Anolis sagrei: one gene and its partner. The protein of the gene in region 1 interacts with the protein of each later gene in a biochemical or structural test. Links are inferred from orthologs where the notes say so. Each region holds a gene or a part of one and is shown in the gene's direction. Other genes may lie near its edges. The genes, in order: ATP7B and ATOX1.

Evidence for each region.
Region 2: the proteins of ATP7B (region 1) and ATOX1 form a complex in vitro, tested with the Homo sapiens proteins (3 studies listed by BioGRID and IntAct). The link is inferred for Anolis sagrei from reciprocal best matches to the Homo sapiens genes ATP7B and ATOX1.

What each region holds. Positions count from the first base shown.
Region 1 is NC_090021.1:139,736,377-139,751,764, reverse strand, and holds the start of ATP7B (copper-transporting ATPase 2), read left to right. Parts: upstream 1-9,738; 5' UTR 9,739-9,990; coding exon 9,991-10,218; intron 10,219-13,508; coding exon 13,509-14,691; intron 14,692-15,388. UniProt on the Homo sapiens protein: Copper ion transmembrane transporter involved in the export of copper out of the cells. It is involved in copper homeostasis in the liver, where it ensures the efflux of copper from hepatocytes into the bile in response to copper overload.
Region 2 is NC_090022.1:84,266,565-84,282,050, forward strand, and holds the start of ATOX1 (copper transport protein ATOX1), read left to right. Parts: upstream 1-8,815; 5' UTR 8,816-8,930; coding exon 8,931-8,936; intron 8,937-14,514; coding exon 14,515-14,590; intron 14,591-15,486. UniProt on the Homo sapiens protein: Binds and deliver cytosolic copper to the copper ATPase proteins. May be important in cellular antioxidant defense.

The sequences.
Region 1 (15,388 bases):
TTACTGTTCTGTGCGAATGTGGCTACAGTTTGTGAGGATTTATTTATTTATTTATTTGGGGTTCTTCTACCCCGCCCTTCTCACCCTGAAGGGGACTCAGGGCGGCTTACAGAGGCAAAGGCACAATTCAATGCCTGCATCATAAAACAATCATACACAAAATTACATCAATTCGCAATTAATAACAGTTCATGCATTATAACCATAAAATCAATAAAATCAATAAACTTATACAAACCCAGTTTCTCCTCTTACATGGTCAGCGTTCGCTAACTCATAGATCTAGTTTTATGTTCTACTTCATCAATCCTGTTGGTCTTACTCGCTGATTGTCTAATTTAATTGCCAGAGTGCCCAAAGGCCTGGTCCCATAACCACGTCTTCACCCTCCTCCTAAAGGCGAGGAGGGATGATGATGCCCTGATTTCCCCCGGGAGTGAGTTCCACAGGTGAGGGGCCATCACTGAGAAAGCCCTGCTCCTCGTCCCCACCAGCCTCACTTGTGACAGTGGTGGGGTCGAGAGCAGGGCCTCCCCAGATGATCTCAGACTCCGGGGCGGGACATAGAGGGAGATACGTTCAGACAGATACACTGAACCGGAACCGTATAGGGTTTTGTAGGTCAAAACCAGCACCTTGAATTGTGCTCGGAACTGAATCGGCAGCCAGTGGAGCTGGCACAGCAGGGGGGGGGGTGGGCTCCCTGTATGTCGCTCCGGTGAGCAGTCTAGCCACCGCTCGCTGGACAAGTTGAAGTTTCCGAACAGTCTTCAAGGGCAACCCCACGTAGAGAGCGTTGCAGTAGTCTATTCGGGATGTAACAAGAGCGTGGACCACCGTGGCCAGATCAGACTTCCCACCGTGGCGAGATCAGACTTCACCGCTGAGACCTGGGGTTCCAGGCTCAGCGATGAGTCCAGGTTCTGAAATCATAGAGACACGAGCTTCTCTTGATGGATAAAAGATCATGAAAAATGAGAGATAACTGCCAGAGAGAGACTGAGGATTCGTGAAATCTGTGAGAGGCTATAGCAGGGTATGCCTACACATCAGTATAGTGCTCAACATGCAGCAAAATTTGCTGCATTTTGCTTTTTGAACCCCCGCCCCCAAATATAGTGTGGGTTCAAATTGTGGATGGAGGATCTATGGATACAGAGGACCAACTGTGCTGTTTTGTCAGATTTTCACCCTTTGTTTTGCTTTTAAAACTTTAGAAAAAGGAGAAAAAAATTCCGCATCCACTGACTTGTTTACATGTGCTTATTGGTTCTTAGTTGACTGGTTTTAATGGCTATCGGTACTCGTACTTCTAGCTGGAGTCAATCCAGGAGGAAAAGAGGTTACTCTCATATTAGTTCTAAAGCAAAAGGAAATACAGCAAATGCACTTGTTTGAAACTTCAGACAACCAATGTTTCGTTTTATTTGTTCAATGTGTTAGTTGGTCAAAGGACAGATGTGGGCAAACAGGGAGCTTGAGTGAGGCTGCTTATGTAGAGCAAAGAAAACATGCTGTTTAGTCACTTGTGCTTCCTGGACAAAATGTATGCAGCCTATTTCATGCAATAAAGCTTTTTATAAGCAGAAAATAGATTAATTGGGCACAAGTACATTCCTATGACTGTCATGTGGCCTTTAATTCCTGGTTGCGTGGTCATTGCCTTTTGGCTTTTGCTCATGGTATGCACAAAGCACAACGCTGGAACTATAGGAGGATGAAGACTTAGCTCCCAAAATGCATAGAATTGTACTGGACAAAAGAAGCTTGAAATTATTAACGTACACAGTAAGTGTAAATATTTATAGGCTGAGCTGGGTAGATGTCTTATAAAGTTCACAGAGCATGTATTTCCTGGTATATTGAATAAGATGTGTTTACAATCCTGTGTGTGAGTTTTACAATCTCTTTAAAAGCTTGTGGGATTTATTTCTCAGTAAATAAGCAAAGGTTTGGATTGTAAATCTTGGTTGAGAAGATAATAGAGGTATGGCACCAGTGCTGAAAAATGGCCAGCGTATTGAGGCTACAGATAGAAAATTTTAAAACCAAGGTAACAGATATTTCATAACGTAAAAAAATGTAACAAAATGTATGTTTTAAATAAGTGCCTTATTAGATTGGGTCAAAGGGAATAGAAAGAAATGTGACCATTTTGCACTGTTTACTCGGTTATATTCTGCCTTTGAGAATCATCCTGGTATAGTGGTTTCAGCACTGGACTATAAGTCTGAGAATCAGAAGCATTGGACTATAAGTCTGGATCCCCGCTTGGCCATGGACACCCACTGGATGGTTGATCTTGGGTGAGTCACGCACTCTCAGCCCTAGAAATCCCTAAAATCAATTTGGCACAAAATAAAAAGAACAATGGCAACTTCTGTCTTTCCTCCAAAAGCTTCTTTCAGTACTGATGAAATTATACAACTTGTCCATTCTTGTAAATGACTCTGTGAGGCAGTTTAGGTTGCAATACATAGTATGGCTCACTCAAAGTAAATTCCTAAACTTCATTGCTGAATGAGATATGAACCCAGGTCTCCTTAATTAGACATTATTGCTGAGTGTGTAAATACCTCACCAATATCTCTTAAATGTGTACTTGTACAATAAAATAGCATGACATTGGATATTAGGAAGGGGCAGAGTGCAGCTCTCCTCTGCAAGCATGGAAACATGAATGAATGTGAATAAAAGTTGCTAGAATGAGGCGTGATGGCCAAGATGGTTGCAAATGTTCCAGAATATTTTTTTCTGATCTGGGTTATTTCTGCATGCGTTTTCCTATAAGTACATCATATCCTCTTTCAACAAATTCACCCGGTCAAACGCAAAGGTCCTATCAATGCCAGCAAAGCATGAAGTTCAAATGATCTGCTTTTGCAAGTGATGTACAACTTATCCATTCTTGTCAGTGTGATGTATTTTCTTGAGTGCTGGACTACAACTCTAGAGACCAACTATGCTTGGACATGGACCCCCCCCCCCCCCCCCGCAGTTTACATATCACTCCAAGAACTGTACTGTAAAGGCAGAACTGTAGATCCACCCTGTTTCAGAAGACATTAAATAAGCCATCCCGAGTCCTTCCGGGGAGATGGAGGCGGGGTATTTCTCAGGAAAAATGGTCCGCCGAGTTGTGCGTGTGTAAGGGCCCTTCCAGACAGGCTCTATATCTCAGGATCTGATCCCAGGATTCTGTTAATACCTGATCATCTGGTAGTGGGGACTCATATAATCCAGTTGAAGGCAGAAAACCTGGGATAACCTCACCACCTCTGAGAATGCTTGCCATAGATGCAGGCGAAACATCAGGAGAGAATGCCTCTAGAACATGGCCATATAGCCCGAAAAAAACTACAACAACCCTGAGATAATCTCCTGGGACATAGGGCCTTCCTGGAAGGGCCCTGAGACAATGCCACATGTCTCTGGCTGGAGTCTTGTATGTGTCCTTATCTTGGAGAAAGCCATATGGAGCTCTGTGTCGCTTAGGCCTGAGGGACACTATCATTTGGAGCTTGGGAGCAAGTCTGACTGCCCCTTCACTGGTACTGAGAGGAAATAGTGCTTGCCAGTGCTTCCTGTACTAATTTGTCTTCCTCTCAATCTCTTTTGCAGATACATACCGATTCCAACCCAATTCTAATAGACACATTTATTTTTAAAAGCTGGATTTTTCTAAAACTGTAGAGTAAAAAGTGATTTTTTAAAGGCATTAAAACCTGAAAGAAGCACTTTAACTGTGAAAACGGTTCTACATTGTGTGTTCAAGTTGGGTATGATTTTATTTGTTAGTGTGGGTCTGATCTAAGAGTGTGGCTCTCCAAGTATTGGACTGAAAGTACTGATATGTGTCACTATTAACTGTGCTGTTTGAGGAACTGAATGCAAGCAACAACTGAAAGGCTATAGTTTGTCTACTCCTTTCTTTAAGCATAGGTCTCATACTGTACTTGCCAGAGTATGATGTTGAATTGTGAACCCTGTTTAAACTTCCTGCCGGGAAGAGTGTCTACGCACCCAGTGGGAAAGTTTGTTTGCTGGTAGGAGTTTCAACATGTGTACATAGAATGAACTCTATCCTAGAATAATTTGAATTTGCACTGAGTAACACAGACTTGGTGTTGCTGTCTCCTAAATGCTAGACCAGGATGCCAACTAAAGTGCAATTTATTTATTCATACTTGAAAGTGAAGATGTTAATTCAATCGTAATTGTGCTCCCAGAACAGAAGTTCCAAGTTTCAAGATCATACATGAATAGCATTTGTCCATGGTCAGCAAGATCTATGTGAATATATTGCAGAACGTTTTGAACAATCTGTTTGTGTATGTGCGTCTATACAAGTGCCTTCAAATCATCTGTTGATTTATGGTGACCACATGAAATTTCATATGGTTTTCTTAGGCAAGGAATATTCAGAGGTGGCTTTGCCATTTCCTTCCCCGAAAATATAGCCTACAGCACCTGGTATTCATTCGATACACTGCTGGAATTGTGAACTGGACACAAGCAGAGCTGGATGATCTGGACAGAAAAACAAGAACACTTATGACAATTCACTACGCATTATACCCACGTAGTGATGTCGACAGACTTTACCTGCCCATAAAATCAGGAGGCAGAGGACTTCTGCAAGTGAAACAAATGGTAGAAGAAGAGAAACATGCAGTGGCAGATTATGTGAAAGGCAGTCAAGAACCAACATTGATGGAAGTCAATAGTAGTAAACTGCTTCAAGTGCAAAAGACAAAAAGTGTAAAAACACAATCCAGAGCAGAAGAGAAAACTGGCAAAAGAAGGCTCTCCGTGGACAGTTCCTGGGAAAAATTGAGAGCCAAATTGACAAAGAAAAAATATGGTTGTGGCTCACAAATGGGACTTCGAAAAAGGAGCCGGAGAGCCTGATTCTGGCAGCCCAAGAACAAGCCATTAGAACAAATGCCATCAAAGCCAGAATTGAAAAGTCGACAACAGATCCCAAGTGTAGACTCTGCAATGAAGCAGATGAAACAATAGATCACATCCTCAGCTGCTGCAAGAAGATCACGCAGACAAACTACAAGCAGAGGCACAACACCGTTGCTCAGATGATTCATTGGAACTTGTGCCACAAATACCATCTGACAAAGAACTGGTGGGATCACAAGCCGGAAAGAGTTACAGAGAATGAACACGTCAAGCTACTCTGGGACTTCCGAATTCAGACTGACAGAGTTTTGGAACACAATACTCCTGACCTCACAATCATGTTAAAAAAACGAAGTATAGATTGTCGATGTTGCAATCCCAGGCAACAGCAGGATTAATGAGAAACAACTGGAAAAGCTGACACTATATGAAGATTTAAAGATCGAACTGCGGAGAATGTGGCACAAACCAGTAAAGGTGGTCCCAGTGGTGATTGGCACACTTGGTGCAGTGCCTAAAGACCTTGGCCTGCACTTAAACACAATCGGCGCTGACAAGATTACCATCTGCCAGCTGCAAAAGGCCACCTTACTGGGATCTGCACGCATTATTCGCTGATACATCACACAGTCCTAGACACTTGGGAAGTGTCCAAAGTGTGAGGTCAGGAGTATCCAACTGCCAGCAGAATGTCTGCTGTGGACTCATCTTGCTGTGTTTCAAATAATAATAATAATAATAATTATTATTATTATTATTATTTATATTCCACCCTATCTTCCCAAGGGGACTCAGGGCAGATCACAGTGCACATACGTGGCAAACATTCAATGCCGTTTGGACAGATGGGCCAGAACAGATAAAAAAGCGGTATGTTGTGTTGACGTCCAGCTTTAAAGTATTTAAGTTTCTAAACTTACAGATGTGTATTTTATGTACTGACCCATAGAATCAATTTGATTTAACTCCCATATGCTTAGGTTTAGCCGTAGTCCTGGGAGGATTTAAGACCCATGCATTGTTCACTTATTCTGCCTTCATTTTCTAAAATGGGGAAGGTGGATGTTGGTTGTTTCTCCAGATGTTTTGGATTCATTTCCCAAAACTCCCACCCAATGTGATCAAAGAAAAGGGATTATGGAATTTTTGGTCCCAAAGCACCAAGCAATGCAAAATTTCCATGCAGCTATAAACCGCTTCTGTGTTTTTGTTGGTTGCTTTTGGCCTTGAAATGTCCAAAGGAACATGGGCATGTCACTTGATCATTTCATGATTCTCTAAACCAGAGGTACAGATGTGTAAGCCTTTATAGATATGCTTACACCGCAACTCCCATTTCCCCTTTTGCAAATGATGGAGTTGTAGTCTAGGAACATTGTAGTCCAAGAACACCCTGTGGTGCCCAACCAGTGAATGGTAAAATGGCAAGACCAAAATGAATACCAACCCGCTCTCCCCAGATTCAAACCTCTGATCTGTCAGTCTTCAGTCCTGCTGGCACATTGCGTCACCGGGGGCTCCTGTTGTTTGTAGTTGACTTGACGCCATTTAGTATGATGATATCCGAAGCTCAGGGAAATCCTCCAAACTGGACGAATGAATAAGAATAATGGCAGATGAGGATTGGTGTAATCAAATATACAGTTCTGAGTTGGGGGGGGGGGGGGAATAAACCTGCTCGACAAGTCTAGCGTAGGTACTTCCTTTGTTAGGAGAAATAGCCAAGTACCGTTGATATATTACTGTGGACAGTGAGTCCCCCTCTACATTGCCATATAATCCAGATTATCAAAGCAGATAATCTGGATTTTGCATGGCAGTGTAGAAGGGGCCTGCATAGCTAGCCACTTGTTTTTTAATAGAAGATTGTTGGTAGGGGAAACTGTTTGTGGATTTTTTTTTTAGAAATAAGAAATGTAATAACGTAATATTTTGTGATTATGGTTATTAGTAATTTTAGTAGGACTATTTAGCTATATCTGTAATGGTAGAGAAATACATTTTTTCTTTATTGAATTTTGATGGCTGGGACAAAGATAGTTCATTTTATAGGGAGAGTTGAAGGGGAAAAAAACATTTCCCTGTTTCCACTGACTTTTCCTTCTCCACACTTCCCATTTCATAAACAAGGGTTGTTTCTACAACAGCAACATTGGGGGCGGGGGGGGGGGGGGGGGATAACAGGAAAACTAGGGGAAATAGTTGACTCCTTCAATTAAACAAAGTTTTTTCTAAATATTTTGTGGTTGGTTTCATGGTTGATTAACTATGTGGTTGTAGAACCTGTGGATAAGGGGAACCAACAGTATATGTATACATGCTCCCCCCTCCCCCCCACACACCTTTTGTCCTTGTTGTTTCTTTTCTTCTTTTTTTCTTCTTTTCCCCCCTGAATATTTTTATTTGGTGGCGGTTTGGACTCTGTCCCTTCCTCTGATAATGGGTGAGGAAAGTTATCAAGGAATCCTCAGAGAACGGGTAAAGTTTTACCTTCCCTTCAGCACCATATGTTGTAATCTAGGGCAGGGCTTATTAAACTTTTTCCACTTGTGGCCCCTTTCTATCTGAGGGCCCTTCCACACAGCCATAGAATGCAGAAGACCAAGGCAGAAAATCCCACAATATCTGCTTTGAATTGGGTTATCTGAGTCCACACTGCCATATATTTCAGTTCAAAATAGAAAATGTGATTTTATTCAGTTGTGTGGAAGGGGCTTGATACATTTTTACATAACCCCAGGTAAATAGGTATGCAAAATAAGGCTTGTGTAACAGGCTGATTTCCTGTTTTGTGGAGTACAGCTAAAGTCCATTGTAAATAGCTACTGTTGTTGCTGACAGATTTGTGTAAATGGATAGCGTTCAGAAACCTTTTACTGTTGCCACATTTCCGTGACCCCACAATTTAAGAAATAGTGGTCTAAGAAACGTGGAAAAAAGAGCGGCAGGTCAAAGACAGATAAGTTTGGGATTATGTAACTGTTATGGAAGACCTTTGAGCTATTTGAAGTCTGAGAAGGGGATTGGCTGGTTTTTTGGAAAATATTCAACTGCGTGTTATCATCATGTTTAGTCTGTAGTTTTGTAAATAAACACTAATTCAGTACCCTTCCAAAGGAAGCCAGTGTGGGTAGGCAGCACTGCCTGCCAGTTAATGCCTTACAACTTGGTGGATTGGGATGTAAGACATTAACTGGGGAATGGAGATGGGTATAGCAATGCAGTGATTAACTTGAAGTCAGCTAGAACCGTACAAAAAAAGAGACCACAAGGGAATAATCTGTCCCAAAGTAGGAAGGAAAGTTAATTGAACTGCTGAGGCAGTGAAAAGGGCCACTTTGGCAACCCGAGTGTCTGCTCGTAGTGAGCCTATTAATGAAGTACATATTTAAGAGTTTAGTGAAAACCAGCCACTTTGGATGGGCAGCAGGACTGCCTGCTTGGTAAAGTAAATTAACATATATTAAGCGGAAATGTGCCTTGGACCGCGAGAAGATCCAAGCAGTCCATACTTCAGGAAATAAAGCCCGACTGCTCATTGGAGGGAAGGATATTAGAGGCAAGGATAAAATACTTTGGCCACATCATGAGAAGACAGGAAAGCTTGGAGAAGATAATGATGCTGGGAAAAAAGGAAGAGGGGCCAACCAAGGGCAAGATGGATGGATGGCATTCTTGAAGTGACTGGCTTGACCTTGAAGGAGCTGGGGGTGGTGACGGCCGACAGGGAGCTCCGGCATGGGCTGGTCCACGAAGTCACAAAGAGTCGGAAATGACTGAACGAATGAACAACAACAATTCTTTGGTACTACTTTGAAAAAGGCCTTGTTTGTTTTTGGATCTCAGGTCATATCACTCAGGGCCCTTCCACATAGCCCTATAACCCAGAAGATCCAGGCAGAAAACCCCACAATACCTGCTTTGAACTGAGTTATCTGAGTTCACATCGCCATCTTACTTTACCTACTCGTTGTCCAAGTAGGATAGTCTTCCAAGATTGGTGTCCTGGCAGTGGATCCGTAGGTGACTGTGGAGCCCTATTCTTGATCTGCATCAAGAATAGGGCTTGATCTGCATCATTGGTTTCCAGACGGAAAGGGGTCCCGGTTGGGGTTCGCTTGACATGACTTCCTCTTGGCACGTTTCTCTCTTTCACCCTCCATTCGTGCCTCTTCAATTTCTACAGCACTGCTGGTCACAGCTGACCTCCAGGGCCGACCAAGGGCAAGATGGATGGATGGCATCCTTGACTGGATTGACCTTGAAGGAGCTGGGAGTGGCGACGGCCGACAGGGATCTCTGGCATGGGCTGGTCCATGAGGTCATAAAGAGTCAGAAGCGACTGGACAAATGAACGGCAACAAATATTAAAAAGTACAGACACCCTCTCTGATTTTCCATCTGACAACGCACTTTGGGTTCAGATGACTCCTGGAGTAGGAATGGCTAATGCAAAGGAAGAGAAAGCCAAACATGCTTAAAATAGTTGGGCTGGACAGGTAATTGTGTTTATAAAGTGACTTCACCTGAGGAGCTAACACTTCAGCCAATCCCCTCTGGCTTTTAGTGTCTGTTCTTCTCAGTTTCTGCAGCCTGTGAGACTTTGAAAGAGCTACGCAGCATGCATAATGCCCTCCGCATGCTTAAGTAATGTGTGCTTCTAAACAAGTATAATTAAATTACAATTTGTAAAGCAGATTCCTCCGCGATTGAAGCAGGATGAAAGCTTGGCTGCTGAAGTTAATTATACACCGAGGTTGCTTCATGCAGGCCATATTTGACAAGTTTGTGAAAGGCAGCCTTGACTGAGGACACCGCAGAGCTGTGTGCAAAGATTAAAGGAGTTAGATGGGGTTTCTCATTGAGCACAAGGCTAACAATTGGTGGGAAATACCTAAACCTGTTTGCAAACATAGCCAACTGCAACAGGAGGAGGTAGGGAGGAGTCAGTTCAACTATACGAACCATACAGCTTCCTTTAGGCTGGAGTAGAAATCATTGCAGGCTCTGGAGAAATCGATGCAGGCGGTCCCAACTCGGGAGCCCCCCTTTTAAAATAAAACTGGCACCATAAGGATGGAAAAGAAAAAAGAGAGGCCTACGAGAAAAAGCCAGTCCTCGCTGGCAACATCTCAACATAAAAATATTACTCTGGTGCATTTCTCTGAGGAATTGCCTGCTAGAAAGCCATCCAGGTTGGAAGATGGTGAATATGATAACCTGAAAACAAATGGTTTGTTTCAGAAAGAGAAGGATGTTTCTGGTAATGTCTTGCCAGGAGAACCGGACATCATCGTCAGACAGGTCAGTTTAAATGGGATGGAGGAATACACATTAAATGTTTTGGCACATTTGTCCTCTGCTCCTTGTTTGGGTCTTGGTGACTGTGAGGATTGGAGCCTTATACTTTTTTACTTGGAAATGGGCGCCATTGAACTCAATGGTATTTACTTCTGAGATGGTGCATGGAAAAAAAAATACAGCAATGTCCGTGGAAGCAGTGAAAATGGAAATACTAATTACCAGTTTGTGAGATTCCTTAAACCAACCTTTTTTTGACCAGGGACAGCTTGACCAGGGGCCCCACTCCAACATTAGTACCAAAGGGTTATGAATCAGTTTTTGGTCAACTTTGGTTTGGTTATTTGGGGTTCTGATTCAGAAAATTGCATTGGATAGACCATGTCATCTTAGTTTCTGATACAGAACATATCCCATCCAGTAGACGCCATCTGCTCACCCCAGAAAACTGTATTTAATAATCTAGAGTTGATGTGGTAGCAGGAATCTTTTGTAGTCAGCCTCTCCCCTCCAGACATCCCTGTTTCCATATTTAATGATTTAAAGCATCAATATAGTCATTAAGTGACTTGCTCTGATAGCTACCATCTGGTATTGGTTTGTGAGCAATGTGAAAATGGTGACTTACGGCGACCCCATTGATTTCATAACATTTTCTTGTCAACTAACACTCAGAAGTGGTTTTGCTAGTTCAGTAGGAGAATGGGAAATCAGTTATTGCTTGGAAAACCAAACATCATTATAGGTAAACCTGTTACTGGAAAATGATAGTAACTATAGTTCTTAATAATGCAAAAAGTTGCAGCAGTTGCTTCTTGTCTTTAGGTTTATGGATAAATTAAACATATTTTGGAGTACATATCAAAGAGTTATTTCATCCGTTTCTTTTTGTTTATCATATAAATATGGATATTTTCTATATAAATTGTCTCAAAGAAAATTGAAACTCCTTTTAGCTGTAATGACAGGATCTGAATAAGATAAAATAGTGCCGCTGCCACCTCCAATCTGGAAGTCTCTGAAACTCTACTTCTGATTTTGAAAAACAGGGTTTTAATAATTTTAAACTGTTCAGGAGAACCCTGGAAGAAATTATCTTCCGGTTTTGGAGGGTTTGGGAAGCACGGAGGGGAGGTCATGGGTTGAAAATAAGACTTATGGGCACACGAGGCTGCAAAATCATATTTTCCAATACGTTTTGCTAAGATACATCTAGTTGCTGAAATTCTGAAAAGCATATCATTATTTTGTCTTGTAGCTCAACAGTTCCTGTCCATTTTGTTTTTCAACATTTAAACCCAACATCAAAGTCTTTTAAGATGAGAAAGACTGGAGTGGGAGAATTCATTTAGAAGCAAAGTAGAGAAGGCAGTAACAATTTTTTCAGAGGCCTATTAGGGTATATGTTATTGAAATTATGAGCATAGTTGATCCTTTCGGTCTACTTAGGACTGCTTGCCTTCTTGTAAAATACATCATTGGTATCTCTCGGTATAATGCCTTTTTATGAACATGAAAATACTCTGAATACTTTTGTTGTTAACAACCATCAAGATGACGTTGACTTCTGGCTCTCTATGACAGAGAGACCGCCAAATCATCCTGTCCTCACCATCCCTGCTCAGGTCTTGGAGATTCAGGGCAGGCATAACTTCCTTGGTTGAATCTATCCACCTGGAACGCAGTGCTCCTCTTTTCCTATTGCCTAATATTTTACCAAGCATCATTGTTTTTCTCTCTCTAGTGAATCATGTATTCTCATGATATGTCCAAAGTACATCAGCCTCAGTTTATGGCCTCATCAGTTGGGCAGGGGTAAAGCGGGGGATATCGTGGGGCAGCAAAGGGAACTGTCAAACTGTGTTCCCTCCTGTTGAGGTCCATCCTCTGCCTCCCCATGACATTTCTTTATCTGTCCCCGCTTCCTTTTCGGCTCCTCTTCCTTCAGTGAGTAGTCGGGTCTTCAACCGACTCCTCTAGGCTCTGCTTCCTCAATGCTGCCGGCAAGTAGCCCCCACAGGGCCCCACCAGAAGTAGCCCTGTATCATGTGATGGGCTGCTGGAGACTATGTTCCGGCAGCACAGAGAAGTAGGGAGAAGATGCTTCTCTCGCTGCATCTGATGAGGTCCTAGGCTATCTTAGCTTCTAGGGCAGTGGTTCTCAACCTGTGGGTCCCCTGGTGATTTGGCCTACAACTACCAGAAATCCCAACCAGTTTACCACCTGTTACAATTTCTGGAAGTTGAAGGCCAAAATATCAGGGGACCCACAGGTTCTAGGGAGTGTTCAGGATTGATTTGCTCTGGGATTCATTTATTTGTCTTTTTGGCAATTCAGGTATTTGTATGTCTCTCCTCAGGCCCCACATGTCAAACGGCTGCATTCACAATTTTTGTATCTACAGATGAGTGTACAAAAGGTGAGGCACAAATGTGGGAAAGGGAAGAGGAACATATTTCTTGGAACCTCATGGTTTCCCCAAATACTTGAATAGTTAATCCTACAGTACATAGTGTGTATGTATTGTGTTTGTCCTCTATGCCAACCAGTAGACCAATGGCTGAATTAGGGCTTTTGTTCAGCTTTCTTTACCAATGCTCATGCGTTTAACAAGTTTGCATTTAAGGAGAGTTAACATTCAGTTTCACAAACATGTTTATTCTTCCCCCTCCAGTGTCGCACAAAGGAAAACCAGGGCAAAGGAGCACAGGTCTAAGGAGCTGTAATTCAGAAGGGGACTTGCCAAGAAAAATCAATTTTAACTGTCAATGCTTTTTCTTAATCTGCTCTTTATAAGTGTTTATTCATTTTAGTTTCCCCAATGAACAATTTGGAGTTACAAAGCCCAGGAAATTCTAGTTAAGAGCTTTCTGGGAGAGAAACGATCAGACACATCGTCCTGGTTTGGTAGATCAGGCGTACTAGTGTGCAGTGTATTTGTGTTACAGTGCAAAGAATCCTAGAGTTGGAAGAGACCTCGTGGGCCATCCAGTCCAACCCCCTGCCAAGAAGCAGGAAAATTGCATTCAAAGCACCCCCGACAGATGGCCATCCAGCCTCTGTTTAAAAGCCTCCAAAGCAGTGGTTCTCAACCTGTGGGTCCCCAGATGTTTTGGCCTTCAACTCCCAGAAATCCTAATAGCTAGTAAACTGGGTGGTATTTCTGGGAGTTGTAGGCCAAAATACCTGGGAACCCACAGCTTGAGAACCACTGCTCCAGAGATACCTTTGCTCTGCACAATACTATAATATCCTTTCAAAACAAGCACATTGTTTTCTCTTTTCTTTTCAGGCTGTATCATCATCAGCAATGAAGCAGAAGTTTGCCTTTGACAATGTTAGCTTTGAGGATGACTTGGAGCATTCACCCGTTCTTCTACCCCAAGTGAACACTGTTACTGTTGATATCTTGGGTATCACTTGCCAAGCCTGTGTACAATCGATAGAGGGGAAAATTTCCAAGGTGAAAGGAATTGTTGACATCAAGGTGTCTCTTGAGCAAAGGAATGCTGTCATAAAATACTTGGGACTGGAAATAAGTCCCCATCAGATCTGCCAGGAAATCAACGATATGGGATTTGATGCCAGTATTGTAGATACAACACAGTCTTCAGAACAAACGTCTCAGGAAACTTTGGTTAAGATGAAAATAGAAGGTATGACCTGTGAATCTTGTGTTAATGCCATTGAAGAAAAGATTGGGAAACTCCATGGTGTGAAGAAAATAAAAGTGGCTCTCAGCAGCCAGGAAGCCACCATCACTTATTGTCCACTTGTAATCAGCCTTGAGGAACTAAAGGATAGCATAGATAACTTGGGATATAAAAGCACTGTCAAGCATAAGCAACCCTCCTTCAATCTTGGCTCGATTGACGTTGAACGCTTACAACAGACAGATGTAAGGACACCTGCTGGGCTTGATGGCACAAGCGCTATGTCAGAAGACACCGCCACCACAGCTTGTGTTGCAGTGCTGGGTGTGGAAGGGATGCACTGCAAATCCTGTGTCAACATAATTGAAAGTTCAATCTCAGACATGCTTGGGGTACAACGTATTAAAGTGTCCTTGGAACAGAAAAATGCCACAGTGTGGTTTGACCAGGACGTGGTCACTCTATCCTCGTTGCAGCACGCCATCCAAGCTCTTCCCCCTGGTAACTTTAAAGTATCCTTTTCTAGTGCGATAGAAGGTGACAATGGACGACTTACCTCAAAGACAACATCCTCTTTGCCTTATGTCTCTAGAAGTCCTCAGGATGAATCCGGTATAGCTATTATTAAGGTTGATGGCATGACTTGCAATTCTTGTGTAAAATCCATTGAAGGCTCCATATCCCAAAGGAAAGGGATCCTCCATATCTCCGTATCTCTAACCAAAGGGACTGCAACTATCTCCTACAATCCGATCATGACCAATTCTGAAGAGCTGAGAGCTGCTATAGAAGACATGGGATTTGATGCCGTTGTCCTCTCAGGTATGATGACACTTTTCTTCTGTCATGGTGTCTTGTGACTGAGAAGGATCTCATCACCTCCATCAACAGTACTAGAAATGGATCTGAAAACTATACAGCTTACTTGCTTACTTGTTTACATTAGCTGTCCCTTTCTGTTTGTACTTTTTGCTGTTATCATATTCTCCTAGTATAGAAACAAAATAGGGATGCCATAGCCTTGGAATGGTTCAAGTTTGGTTTGGAATGGAGAGGTCCCCATGTATCCCAAGAATGAACAAAAATTGACCCAGGGCTATAAGCAGCCTCAAAGCTGGTTTCCCCCGTCCTTTGGGGGGGGGGGGGGGTGAACTTCCAGGAAAGGCTATTATGGCTTCCCTTACCAAAATTCTTTTTTTCATACCAGAAATTCCAGTCTCTTCCAGACACTTCTGGATTTTTCTTGTTTGTTTTCTTGTTTGTGGGATGTGCAGTGATTTGGGGTAGCCTGTGTGTCCTTCTGAGGCTTCCAAGCTTAGAAATTTAGCTCCTGGACCTACCATCTGGATTTACCCCTTACTTGAAACCTTGCAATATGTTGTTCTGGGCTGGAGAATTTGGCCAGGGTTGCTTAAGATGAAGTAAACAGGAGATCAAAAACATCTGGTAGACCAGATGTTGGCTAGTCCTATAATAATGTAGTCTAAGATCTTGGGCTTGGTCTATTATCTCTGAGTGA
Region 2 (15,486 bases), on another chromosome or scaffold:
CTCGATGGCAATGCTGGGCCACAAAGAGCACCTAAGCAGATCAGATACAGAATGACTGCAACCTTGAATCTTTTATGCAATGACATTTGAGCTACTATATTTAAAGGCCACCCCAGAATCTAAAAACTCTATCCCACAAGTGTTTGGTTTAAAAGTCTTATTACTCTTTGCATATTCATATTCAGTGGGGAAGAGTAGATCATTTTTCAGCTGAAAGAGAAAGAGAGTGATGCCCCATTTTAAAGCATTCCTAGATCCTGCACTTATGGTTAATATATATTTAAGATTAATATATAATTCATTATATGATATCAAAGACAATCTAGCCTCTTCTTTCTCTTCTCCCCAGTCAAAAATATTAGCCCTGCACCCATTCTATCTGTATAGATCACTTACCTTAACTATGCCTGAAAGCTGGGAAGAAGTGCTAGATTTTTCTCATGCATATTCACGAAAGAAAAGTTTCAGGTAAGAAAAGTTATTAGCCAATCCAAAACAATTTAAGAAGACATTTTAATTCAAACAGAAAAGAATGCTTTTATCGTTGATGCCATTTTCTCTCTGTGTCTCTCTCACACAGATACACACTTTCCTTTTTGTGAACTCAAACTTCCTTAATTTGGCATTTAAGGCTGAACTCGGTAACTACCATTATTCTTTTGTTGCTATTGTTATCCCCTAATTCCCCCATTCCTTTAGTATTACTATTTTTAAAAAGAGCTTTTAGCAATTCGAGCACAACTCATGTTCATTCTTTAATCTCTCAAGAAAGAACCACAATTGAGTGTTAAAAGCAGGTTTTTCCCCCAGCATTTTAAGCAATTACTTCTTTATTTTTTCCTGGAAACTGCTGAGAAAATTCTCAGCAATAATTGCATTTTCATTTTATTTTTGAACAACTCTAGATGAAGACATATAGCCAGTTTGAGTTTAATAAATGCCCCACTAAGGTTTCACATTACAAGGGTGAGAACTGTTCTGATCTCCAGATGTGGTTGGACTACAATTCCCAGCAGCCCTGGCTAGCATGGCCAATGCTGAGAATGCTGAGAATTGTTAATTCAGCAACATCTGGAAGACTCCACAATTCCCACTTCAATCCAGGATGTTTTTGTTTGTCTTTTCAGAAATTAAGACATTGCCACACACACAAAAAGGCAAGAGCAGGACAGGCAGACTTCTATATGCTAATTATAATTTTAGAAAGGAACACTTCAATTTAAATATAAATACAAGACATCTTACCACACCTGCTCTGTTGGTTGTCCAGATGTTAACTATTAATTTTAATACACTCAACTCTATCTTCCTGTGATTCTTGATCATTAAGCTACACACGAACTGACCAGCTCTGCAAACATATTACTGTTACATTCAGAAAGGGCTACATAACTATCTTACTTTTAACCTCAGGATTAATTCTGCTGATTCACCACAGCTGCCAACAACCAAGACTATCCCAAGAACTTTTGTTCCTGAGGAGGAATCAGAAATGACACCTCTTAATCCTTCCCTACCTCTCAAGGAGCATAGTATTACACAGAACTAGTCATGTAACTCTAGCACAGAAAATGCCCCACACGTCACACAAAAGCAATAAAAAATTGCAATCAGTTGTCCTTTCATTGATACCTCAATCCAGACAGCTGAGACTGTAATCCCAATTTGTCCAATGGTAGAAGTGGTCCTGCCAATAACACCTTAAATCAAATGTGCATGTTAGGCATGTTTGAGAGTAACAAAAAGCTTGTAGCAAAAATACAGCTATATGCGACTTTTTCATACTGTATGGGTTTGAGTGTTGGACTAGGATTCTGTGAGAGCGGGCTTCAAATCCTCACACAACAATGGAAACCCACTGGGTGACCTTGAGCAAGTCACACTCTCTCAGCCTCAGTGGAAGGCAATGGCACATCTCACTCTGACTATCTTTCTCTAAGACACTATCACTATAAGCTAGAGTCAATTTGAAAACACATAACAACAAAACCACATGTGAAAATTTATAAGATACCATTGTTCAATGAAAAAAAACATATATGCCCGAGATGTGAAATCATATGTGAAAGGGATGTAAACTGGTTAAATTTGCCTTGTTAATGGCAAGTGCTCAAGGGACTTTACTAATTGTACGAAAGGCAGAAATTTCTTGATATATTCTCATGCACTGATGGTGAAAGTCACATTTGTTGAATAGGAGCCTGCTGAACAACTCTTAAAGGCACCAGAGCCCTGCTAGTTGAAGCCAATGGCTTCCTATTGCCAGTAAGACAATGTCATGATTTGATTGGTCTTTACTCACTTCCTTGAATACTATACAGCTTCATATGAACTTAAACATGTAAGGGGTTTTTTCTTCTTCTGAGAATGAGATAAATGACTGAAGATATTTCACTTGCATAGCTAGACACACCTTTATTCAGAAATCAATCCTATACGGTGTGTAAAAGATATCTACTCTAAGCCATTTTCAGGATTTCAGCTAAGTCACCCAGTCCTTACAAATTTAATCAGAAGCAAGTCTACACTGAATTTAGTTATCTGAGAATGAAATTTATCAAAATCAGTGTGATATCTTTATAAAATGAATAGGGTCAAGGTGCATGGTATGTCTGTTAGACTTCTGTAAAAGGCAATATGCTGCCCAATGTGCGTATGAAATGTATGAAGAGATTTCTATGCTGGTTTTCATTTCAAATATGCCAAAGCACTCTGCAATATTACAGTGCCTGAAATCATAACATACAATAAAACTATGCAATAAAACAATGAGCATCCATAGAACAATAAACCAATAAAATAGTTCATTGAAGTCATTGGGGTAACTACAGGCCTGTAGCAGGATTTCGTTTCGGGGGGGGGGGGGGGGGGAGGCTGAATTTTTTTCAGGGGGGGTTTCGGGTGGGGGCTGAGTCTGAGTGAAAGAGGGTCTAGCCTAGCAAACCTAACATACAATCATTACACCAATACCCCCATGCATATGGGATATATTGAATAGGGTGATCAGATCATGATATGAATAAACATAACAGTTTAAATAATGCAGCAGTAAGGACTTTTCGTGAACCACCATCAGAATTGGGGGGGGGGCTGAAGCCCCCCGAGCCCCCCCCCCCCCCCCACCCCCCCCCCCCCGGCTACATGCCTGGGTAACTAGCAAGGTTAGTGATCAGAAAAATAAACACCTGGCAAAGCACAGGATGCAGAAAACTTCAAGACAAACTAGTTTATTTTATCATATGCTTTTACTAACTCCCTCCCAATATTGTTGGGCTGGAGAATCCAAAAAAAAAAATGGAATCTAGAAAAGCTTATTAGCTAGCCTTAAAAGGTGCCACTAGACTCCTCCTTTTTATACTAAAACAAACTAACATAGCTATCTCTCTGGAAATGGATGAAGAAATCTTCAGCTGGTGATTAAAATACTCTATATAGGAAGCACCCCACAGAGACATTATCCAACGGAAAGATCATTTAGCCTGGTGGGTGCCGCAACAGAGACATCCCTCCTCTATACTTTCAGCAAGTAAACTTCACAATGCTGTGGGGTACAGTGGCTCCTGCACTGAGACCCTCACCATAACCTGGTCCAAAGCTATTTAGAGATTCATAACCAATTTGAACTTTGTATTTAGAGACAGAGAAAAATTACTCTTCCTTTATCATTAAGCATCTGGAGGAGTCCCTGGTAGTGTAGTGGGTTAAACCCTTGTACCGGCAGGAGTGCTGACCAACAGGTCAGCGGTTCAAATCTGGGGAAAGTGAGTTGAGCTCCCTCTGTCAACTCCAGCTCCCCATGCAGGGACATAAGAGAAGCCTGCCACAAGGATGTTAAAACATCAAACACCCGGGCATCCCCTGGGCAATGCCCTGGCAGATGACCAATTCTCTCACATCAGAAGCAGCTTGCAGTTTCTCAAGTCGCTCCTGACACACACACACACACACACACACACACAATAAAATTCAAGCATCCTGAAATATAAAGACTCCGGCAAGCACAAGGGGTACTTAAAAGTGCCATCCATGCATTTGGTGGAGTTTATTCCTAAGTAAACATGCACAAGATAGATTGAAGGTAGTCTCATTATTCCTTTAAAAACCCATTTCTCAGTGCTTGAATATTCAGTAAACCTCTGATTGATAATTTCTGAACTACCTAGTAGCGGTGGTAACCCAAATCTGCCAGATCATTTTAGAGAATTCAGCCTAGTTTGGAGGGTAGGATCAAGCTCCCTTCCCATTCCAGGGTCCGTGGATTTTTCTATAAATTTTATCCTTTTTCCCACATCTAAGACCTGAAATGCCCTGACTGCAATCCACATCCTAACACATACAATAAATAAATCCAACTAAACCTGTTCAACTATATCTGTTCAACAGATATGCGTATATGGGAAGTATGTTCTTTTCTGTTAACCAAGCCTTATGCTCCATTAGGTATATTTCAAATTGAGCTTAATGCTTTGATCTTATGTACCAGTATGTCTTCTCAGAAATAATTCCCAGTGTGTTCAGCGGATCATATGCCTAGGTAAATAAGCCAGGGCCACCTCAACACAATTTGCTTCCCTGGGGAGATTCATAGTATCACACTACTGTGGCATCCAAGGCAGAAAATCACAAAAATGCTCTTTGGAAGTAAAACACTTAAAAACTGTAATTATGCATTTAAAAGGAAGAATTTGCTTACCTTTTCATCATCACCCAAAATCAAGGAAGCAAGCTGGATGTCTCAATCTACCTAATGCTGGGCCAGATTCAGGACTCCAGCTTAAGGACAGCTGATCGATGAAATGCTCTCATCAAGCCATTGCTGCAAGTCACTTTTGGTCGCTGCTGGTGTGAGAGAATCAGCTGTCTCCGTAGAAGTTGCCTGGGGGACACCCGGATGTCTTGCAATCCTGCAGGGAGGCTCCTCTCATGTCCCCCTCTCATGTCTAATATAATGCCAAGTTTTTAAACTTTGAGTGTGTTTGTGTGCATTTTTAATACATTACAACAGTACCCTTTGCTCGCTCCTGATACAATAAATAAATAACCAAACCATTTGTAGATTGTAACTTTTAACTAAGTGTCCTAAGGCAACACTACTCAGATATGACCAGTGCTAGTCCATGAATCATCTGCTGATGATTTGTAGTGAGTTTCCAGGAAATTATGGCTCTGCTTATCTGATGAATTAAGGACCAGGTCGCTGACAGAAAATGGAATTGGTTGAAAAGTGGAACTACAAGGAATTTTAGCTAGCAAATAAAAGATTAAACACTAGGTGGCGATAAGTCAATGGAGAGAGAAATAAAACCAATGCACCAATAATGCAGCAGAAGTGGTTGGAAGAGTAGACTAGGGGCCAAACGTGTTGCACAAGGCTATAATTTAGGTGGGTCAAAACAGCAGAACATCCAAAACTGAGTTGTCAAAAAGTGTGGGATGTTTGTAGAACAGGCATGGGCAAACTTCAGCTCTCCAGGAAAGACAGGAAGAGGCTGTTAGGAATTATGGGAGTTGAAGTCCAAAACACCTGGAGGTCTGAAGTTTGCTCATGCCTGTTGTAGAATCATTATAATGAATATGGTACCAGTCTCTGACACACCGGGGAGAAAGTTCACAGCCTGCCATATAAGACAGTTTAGGAAGAACTAACAGGACGGTGACTTGATTTTTTTTTTTTTTGGTCGTGTCAGGAGTGACTCCTGGCGTGAGAGAATTGGCCGTCTGCAAGGACGTTGCCCAGGGGACGCCCGGATGATTTGATGTTTTATCATCCTTGTGGGAGGCTTCTCTCATGTCCCCGCATGACGAGCTGGAGCTGATAAAGGGAGCTCATCCGCCTCTCCCCGGATTCGAACCTGCGACTGTCGATCTTCAGTCCTGCCGGCACAGGGGTTTAACCCACTGCGCCACCGGGGGGGCTCCATGGTGACTTGATGATACAGACAGACATAAGTTAAGGTATATATGACTGAAGTTACACTTAAAAATGTACCTGTTTCAACTTACATACAAATTCAACTTGAGAACAAATTGACAGAACCTGGGGACTACCTATCTGGGTTGACTTGTCCACAGGTCAATGTGAGTACTTTAACTTGACTCTTATCCAAAAAGGAACCATCCTTTTTATCTGAGTAGTGCCACAAGCTTAGTCCATCCCATGTAAACCTAAAAGAAGCACCAATTTGCTTCCTCCCATAGGGCCCTTCCAGACAGGCCCTATATCCCAGGATCTGATCCCAGGTTTTCTGCTTTAAACTGGATACAAGTCCATAATGCCAGATAATCTGGGTTAAACAGAAAATTTGGGATATAACGCATGTCTGGAAGGGCCCTTGTAACAAAATGTATAATTACAAAGTAGGTTGAAAAGGGTCAGTTGGTTAGTTAGCTGAAGTCAGTGAAGTTGTTAGTCAGTTAGCGGGAGTCAGTGAGGTAGTTTGCTGAAAGCAGCTGGAAAACTAGCTAGGGAAAAGCTAAAGTGGTTGACTGGTAGCAGGAAGCTAATGACAGTAGAGAGGTTTTAAAGGACCAAGTGGTCAGGATCTCTATGCCAGGCAAAAGATTATTAGAAGTCAGTTTTCATATGTTAATATAAAAGTTCTTTTGGAAAAGAGGAAAGGCTTAAAGGAAAGTCATGTTGAAACTCTGTTTTGTAACCAATAAGCATTTATACTTTTGAAACCAGCACGCTTTTGTCACAAGAACGATACAAATAAAACTGTTTCCTTTTAAGCAAAGTCTCTCTCAATCTAGGTTCTTGTGGGTTTTTTCGGGCTATAGAGCCATGTTCTAGAGGCATTTCTCCTGACGTTTCGCCTGCATCTATGGCAAGCATCCTCAATCTCTCACCACCAATTTAAGAAGACACAAAAGGTGGTAGAAAAATCAAACAACCTTTTATTCTTTGGTGGCATCTTTGCACAGGCTGGTAGCCGGACCCTTCCTGACCTTTTTACATTTTTGGTGAGATAAATAAATAAAAAGTCCCGCCACGCAACCAGTTTAAGTGCCTCACAGCCCTTATATGGAAGCTTGTTACTGTTGTGGGGCAAGCTGAAATCCCCACCAAAGGGATAGCCCGGCCCTCCATTTCACCTGGCAATGCTGTGTGACAGGGGTGTCTCTCACACACCCATTTCAGAATGGACCACCACCCCCCCCCCCAATATCTTACAACCACCACTTGCCATTACATTAAAAAATATCCAAGCTCTGGGTTCTATTACAATGAGAGAAGAAGAGAATTGATTAGTTGGATTCCATTATTCATTTATCTGCTCTCTTTTCCACCTGCACAGTCCTTTCTGACTTTAAGAGGCCAGACCTATCTAGTTTTTAAGAATACCATATTAATTATACAATATTACAGTATTTTATTATATAATATTAGTGCAGCATACATTTTAAAACTGGCTTTCATCTCACCCATTTTTCCCCCTCTTCCCAAGCCATACACATTTACAACCTGGCTTCAGACTACAAAAAAGGAGATTCCACCTGAACATGAGGAAGAACGTCCTGTGAGAGCTGTTCAGCAGTGGAACTCCCTGCCCCCGAGTGTGGTGGAGGCTCCTTCTTTGGAGGCTTTTAAACAGGCTGGAGGGCCATCTGTCTGGGGTCCTTTGAATGCGATTTTTCTGCATCTTAGCAGAATGGGGTTGGACTAGATGGCCCATGAGGTCTCTTCTAACTCTAGGATTCTAGTCCTCAAGAGGTGCAGCAGCACAACTGCTCCCAAGTGTATCTTGAGAGTGTATCTACACTGTAGAATAATGCAGTTTGACGCTACCTGAATTAGGAGCCGTAGTGCTGCAATGGGTTAAACCCTTGTGCCAGCAGGACTGCTGACCTGAAGGTTGGAGGTTCAAATTCACGCAACAGGAAGAGCTCCCGTCCATCAGCTCCAGCTTCCCATGCGGGGACGTGAGAGAAGCCTCCCACAGGATGGTAAAACATCCAAACTAGGGTGTAGAGTGAGCTCTCATCTGTCAGATCCAGCTTCCCATGCGGGGATATGGTAAAGCATCCAGGCCAGGGTGTAGAGTGAGCTCCTATCTGTCAGATCCAGCTTCCCATGCAGGGACATGAGAGAAGCCTCCCACAGAATGGTAAAGCATCCAGGCCAGGGTGTAGAGTGAGCTCCTATCTGTCAGATCCAGCTTCCCATGCGAGGACATGAGAGAAGCCTCCCACAGAATGGTAAAGCATCCAGGCCAGGGTGTAGAGTGAGCTCCTATCTGTCAGATCCAGCTTCCCATGCGGGGACATGAGAGAAGCCTCCCACAGAATGGTAAAGCATCCAGGCCAGGGTGTAGAGTGAGCTCCTATCTGTCAGCTCCAGCTATCCCATACGGGGACATGAGAGAAGTCTCCTACAGGATGGTAACATATCCGGGCATCCACTGGCCAACGTTAATTCTCTCACACCAGAAGCGACTTGCAGTTTCTCAAGTCGCTTCTGATACAATTTTTAAAAAACCACTTGAATTGCTGTAGAATCTTAAGATTTGTCGTTTGGTGAATCGCCAGCACTCTTGGGCAGAGAAGGCGAAAGGCCATGCAAAACGACAACTCCCAGGATGCCCTACAATTAAGTCCTGGCAGTTAAGCGATGACAAACTGCGTTTAGTCCTAAATGTCGATGCACCTTAAGTACAATGTTCCCCACGCGCCTCTGAGCATGTGCAGAGAGAATAGCGTGGCGCGTCACTCCCTGCCAACGGAATGGCTCCCCCTGGCGGCGCAAGGAAGGAAGGGCGCTTCTTAGCCCCCCCTCCTCCCGCGGTCGAAGGCTGAAATAGGCGGGGAGTGGGCGTGGCTAGCCAGCGGTGGGCGGGGCTTCCTTGGCCTTTCATTATTGCGGAGGAAGGTGGGGAAGAGGCTGCTTCTCCGTTCCGGTGACTGGCAGAAGGGAAGCAGCCGCAGCAGCCATGCCGGTGGGTGACTTCCAAAGGCGGCTCCAAGGGGCTGGGTTTGGGCCGGGAAAAGGGTCAGGGCAACAGCGGGGGAGCCAAGGATGGAGCAAGGGATCCACTCCCCCCCCCCCCAATCATTGCTACAACAACCTCCCCTTCCCTGCCCAAAAGAAAACGAGATCTGCTAAATCAGATCCTCAGGCCCAGGATGCATCTACACTACAGAATTAATGCAGTTTGACAGCACCTTAACTGCCACGGCTTAGTGCCACGGAATCATAAGAGCTGTAGTTTGGTGAGGCATCAGCACTCGTGGACAGAGAACTCTAATAGATCTTGCAAAACTACAAATTCTATGATTCTGTAGCATTCAATCATGACAGTTAAATTGGCTTGTTATTAATAACAGTGCCTGACTGCTGATATGGAAAATGAAGAATTCAAATATAGTCCCAAAGCCAATCCAGTTGAATGTTTTCACTACACAAGATGGATCTAAGACAGCGGTTCTCAACCTGTGGGTCCCCAGATGTTTTGGCCTTCAACTCCCAGAAATCCGAACAGCTGGCAAACTGGCTGGGATTTATGGGAGTTGTAGGCCAAAGCACCTGGAGACCCACAGGTTGAGAACCACTGGTTTAAGATGGTTCTCAACCAAACACCCTAATGTTTCAGTGGAGATCCTATCTGCAAGGGATGTGATAAAGGGATGATGTATAGCAGGCATGGGCAATTGGTAGGCTGTTAGGAATTGTGGGAGTTGAAGTCCAAAACACCTGGAGGGCCGAAGTTTACCCATGCCTGCTGTATAGTTTGAGAAAGGCTCTCTAGGATTTCACCCCATACGTTTTGAAGAGAAGTTTTGCAACCCTTTTGATTCAACTCATATAGAACGTGTTGCAGTAGTTTCAGTGTTGGAGTGCCACTCCAGAGACCAGGGTTCGATTCCTCACTTGGCCATCGAGACCCATTGAGTGACCTTGGCCAAGTCACACACTCTCAGCCTCAGAAACCCCATAATGGCTTTAGGGTCATCAGAAGTCAGCACTAACTGGAACGCACACAGGAACAACAAGCAGAGGAGCCTCACCCTTGTTGGCATATGGAATGAGATGTTTTGCTCCGCTATAGTGAAGATAAAACCATTCCTGATGACTGTTAAAACCCTTAATGATGACTGTTCAAATGGTGTATTTAGTTGTCCTTTGTAAAATTGTAGCTTAACTTCTGTTTTATTATTTTGTTTTGCTTTGGGTTTATATTGTGTGTGTGTGTGTGTGTGTGTGTGTGATTAAGTTGCAGCATTAAGCCAGCTCAAGTCGTTTTGGGAATGGTTGGCTGTTACTCACATGTTTATACTGCCCTAGTTTTTTGTGGATCAGTGCCCACTTTGTCAGGTTTGTGCCATGATAAATGTCTTAAGGTGCACAAAGACCTTGTTGTCTCCTTCTGTGTGGACTTTTTGGAACCCCTGAATGCAACCTGAGAGATGAAGAGGATCACTCAAGACCTGGCAAGACACACACACACACACACACACACACACACACACACACAGAGGCCCAGAAGAACTATCCAGTGAAGGCAAAGCCAGTTAAAGAGTTTGTTCCTTCCTGAGAAATAAAAGGTTTTGCTTCAAGACATCTCTCAGAAGTAACTTCAGCAGTACAGTGATTATGTCAGACAAACAGCTGTAGCCTGGCTTAAAAAGCTGTATGAACTTTAAGCCTGACCACAGTCCAGCGAGGGTGTTTGCCCACACAAGTGACCTTCTGGGCCTAAATGCAGTAAACATTGGGGAAATATCAGGGGTCTTTGGACTCCCAACCTCAGATTCCTCGAGCCACAATAGTGTTAATCAAGCTGATGGAGGAACGCAGGAATCCAAAAAAAAACCAAAAAAGTAACTTCTCCAAGCTCTGGCCCCAGTGATTAGTCGAAGGATTGGTCCCTTACTGTGCTATACAGTAAAGTCTCGCTTATACAATAAAACCGGCCAGCAGTATGTTGGATAAGCAAAAATGTTGGCTAATAAGGAAAGATTAAGGAAAAACCTATTAAACGTCAAATTACGTTATGATTTTACAAATTAAGCACTAAAACTTTTTTTACAACAAATTGACAGAAAAAGCAGTTCAATACATGGTAACATTATGTAGTAATTACTGTATTTACAAATTTAACACCAACCCATTGCAGTGTATTGAAACAACTGTGGATCCAGGTGGGAGTCAGATAGTGTTGGATAATACAGAATGTTGGATGAGCGAAGGTTGGATAAGTGAGACTCTACTGTATTTCTTTTAGGCAAAAAGAGTTCATGTGTGAGCAAGATTTGCCTGTGCTATAAGATCTTGCACATGCCTTTATCATTCTAGAACAAAAAATACAAAAGAGCCCCTTGCAGAACTTGACTGTTGACTTTAAGAGCAATAATAGAGGGGGAAAAAGACGTAAGGAGGCATCTACTGCTTAATGCAAAGATTGATCATTTCTCTCCTCCCTCCACCATCATCTAGAGAAGCTAGACATATCTGGCCTCACTAATAGGCAGGGTGAAGCAGCTGCCTCAAGCACTATATGTTAATGTATAGTTAGCAAACAAGTTCTTCTGTGTTCCCTAAGTTAGCCAGCTGCCCTCAAATGCAGTGTCCGATGTTGCCCTATCACCAGTGTTGCTGTAAGAGTCAGGGTTGTTGACTTACAACACTCAGATTCTCCCAGCCATGACTGCAGGTCCCATTGGCCATACTGGCTGGGAGATTCTGGGAGCTGAAGTAAAAAAAAAAAAACTTTTGCAAAATCTGGTAAAACTTAGCAGAGTGAGAAGAAGCCCTATCTTCTTGTCATGCATCAAGCAGACAAGAGTTCCCTTGCCTAGTTTCCAACAGACCTCACAACCTCTCAGGATGCCTGCCATGAATGTGGGTGAAAAGTCAGGAAAGAATGCTTCTGGAACATGGCCATACAGCCCAGAAAACTCACAGCGACCCAGCCCTGTCTTGTTCTCAAGCAACGAAATGTCTTGGGCTGGCCTTGAAACTGGAGGTGAACTAGACCTTTTGAAAGGTGGCTGGAGGCTGACATTTCTGCATCATGAGGCCTTATGTCCATTTCTGACTCCACCAACCACAACACATATTTGAATGTCTGGCTTGGATACCAGGCCAATTTCCAGCTTCGCTTCTGTAAATTGCGTCTTTAGTGGTACCAAGAAAAACCGGTTAGTCATTCAAAGACTGACTTTTTATTCCCATGCTGTTCTGTAAGCTGTAGCAACAGTGCACAGCAACACACAGCTCACTTGGGATTGGTCCATTTAGGAAGGATCCAGAATTTGCCACGTCTTATTAATCTCTGAGTGATTCATGGTTCACACAGGGAAAAGACAAAAGTATTACTAACCTTTCTAATGTAGATTTTTCCTAGTTAATAGATGGTGGTGAAAATTACTTGAGATCAAGTGTTAGTGGAGGTAAGACTAGGGAGATATAAATAAGCAGGTCATCATTACAGACACTGGTTCAGATACTGCATTTTTTTCTGAAACAGATTTTGTAGCCAGGTGGTTTTTTGAGAACATGTCCAATTTTATGTATTTATTTTTAAAATTCTGCTTTGTGTACCTGGAATAAGATTTAAGGAAACACAGAAAAGAAAGCAAAAGTGAAATAGAAAGCAAAAACAGAAAGAAGTGATCAGAAATGCTCTAATTTATCTGAAATATTGTTACACAGTCATGTTTAGGAAAAGTAAGAAGAACCAATGAAATTTGGGCAATACACCATCTATCATATAGAATCATAGAATAGAATCATAGAATCATAGAATCAAAGAGTTGGAAGAGACCTCATGGGCCATCCAGTCCAACCCCCTGCCAAGAAGCAGGAATATTGCATTCAAATCACCCCTGACAGATGGCCATCCAGCCTCTGTTTAAAAGCTTCCAAAGAAGGAGCCTCCACCACACTCCGGGGCAGAGAGTTCCACTGCTGAACGGCTCTCACAGTCAGGAAGTTCTTCCTCATGTTCAGATGGAATCTCCTCTCTTGTAGTTTGAAGCCATTGTTCCGCGTCCTAGTCTCCAGGGAAGCAGAAAACAAGCTTGCTCCCTCCTCTCTGTGGCTTCCTCTCACATATTTATACATGGCTATCATATCCCCTCTCAGCCTTCTCTTCTTCAGGCTAAACATGCCCAGCTCCTTTAGCCGCTCCTCATAGGGCTTGTTCTCCAGACCTTTTATCATTTTAGTCGCTCTCCTCTGGACACATTCCCGCTTGTCAATATCTCTCTTGAATTGTGGTGCCCAGAATTGGACACAATATTCCAGGTGTGGTCTAACCAAAGCAGAACAGAGGGGTAGCATGACTTCCCTAGATCTAGACACTATGCTCCTATTGATGCAGGCCAAAATCCCATTGGCTTTTTTTGCCGCCACATCACATTGTTGGCTCATGTTTAACTTGTTGTCCACGAGGACTCCAAGATCTTTTTCACACGTACTGCTCTCGAGCCAGGTGTCCCCCATTCTGTATCTTTGCATTTCGTTTTTCCTGCCAAAGTTGAGTATCTTGCATTTGTCACTGTTGAACTTCATTTTGTTAGTTTCGGCCCATCTCTATAATCTGTCAAGATCATTTTGAATCCTGCTCCTGTCCTCTGGAGTATTGGCTATCCCTCCCAATTTGGTGTCTTCTGCAAACTATGTTGTTTTGGCCAGTGATACATTGTTAAAACATTTTTCTTTTGAAACCAATGTGATTCTTGTTATGTGATTCCAACCTATGGACATCCGCTTGTAGTGTTTTCTTGATAAGATTTATTCCCAAGGTTTGTAATTGTCTTCATCTTAGGGCCCTTCCACATAGCCGTATATCCCAGAATATCAAGGCAGAAAATCCCACATTATCTGAGTGTGGACTCAGATAACCCAGTTCAAAGCAAATATGGTGGGATTTTCTGCCTTGATATTCTGGTATATAGGCCTGTGTGGAAGGGTCCTTAAGTAGTGTGACTTGCACAACGTCACACAGTGGGTTTCCATGGTTGTGCAAGGTTTCAAACCCTGGTCTTCTGGAGCCCTAGTTCAATATCCAAACCACAACACCATGCTGGCTCTGCAGCACTGTTTGGGGGGAGACATAGGGGCCCTACCACACAGCAATATAACCCAGAATATCAAGGCAGAAAATCCCACAATAACTGCTTTGAACTGGGATATCTGAGTCCACACTGCAATATATTCCAGTTCAAAGCAGAGAATGTGGGATTTTATTAATCTGTGTGGAAGGGGCCATAATCAAGAATCTGAAGGGGGGTTTTTTGGGTTTTTTTGCAAAGATTATGATTGTGGGATCCAAAGCCACATTGGATATTGTCCTGCAGCAAACATTTCCCAACATGGTACCTTTCATGCACATTGGTGCAGAACTCACCCTGCACAAACAGTGGATGGAGAAGGAGAAGTTTATAGTTCCATCATATCAAGGGGTGGGGGGTAGAGTTTTGCCTACTGGCTTGTCTTTATTTCATAATTTGTACTGTTGCCCAAAGGATCTGTTTCAATGGCCTCTCCAATATTTCCTCTCATGTTTTCAGAAACATGAGTTCTTCGTAGACATGACCTGTGAAGGATGCTCCAATGCTGTCACCCGGGTTCTCAACAAGCTGGGAGGTAAGTGGTACTAGTGCCTGACCTCTTGCATCTTTTTGGTATTGTACTTTAAAAATACCTGTTGGTACAGGGTAAGGCATCCAAAATCCTATTGCTGAAAGGGCAGGTCACTGCACTTTGAATCCTTCACCAAATATTGCATCAACCTTAAATAAAGATAAGTAGACAGCTATCCTCTTGCATTGTAAATTGTATTTGTCTAGAACTGTGGGTGTTTTCCAGGTTGTATGATGTTTTGCTTGCATATCCTATATATATAGCCTGCTCAAATTTAAAAGAGGGTTGGGAAATTCTGTTTCTCCAGCTATTGTTAGACTGCAATATCCATCATGCTTCCCTCATGGCTGTATTGTCTATGGATGATGGCAGCTGCAGTCTGGTAACATTCCTCACCCCTAATTTAAAAGATTGCAGTGCAGTTTTTGCTTCTTTCTCTGCTGTAGCTAAAACAACTTGATCACTGCTGTTTTTCCTCCTAATGCAAGTAGTCCAGTCAGTAACTAATTATTGATTCTTGACAAGCAGTATTTACTTTATACCCCATAAGTCATAGTGAAATAGAGAAAACTTCATTTATGACAGGCAGATATCCTCTGCTCTATTATAAGAATTTGTTCAGTATTTTTTTTTCTCATTATTGATGGTTCTCTCTATAACTGCAATTGTTTCTGCAGGAAGCGGTGAGCATGCTGTAGTCCTTAACTTATCAGGTGACAAATCACTTGCCCAAATGTTGTTAGGCTAACAGTTGCAGGGCTTTGAAAGATCTTCAAAACAAGCTACACAGAAATTCCTTCCATGTTAGGAATTCTGTAATGTTTCAGAATCACATGTACAGTAAACCCTCTGTATCCATAGATTCAACCATCCATGACTTAAACATATTTTTAAATCCC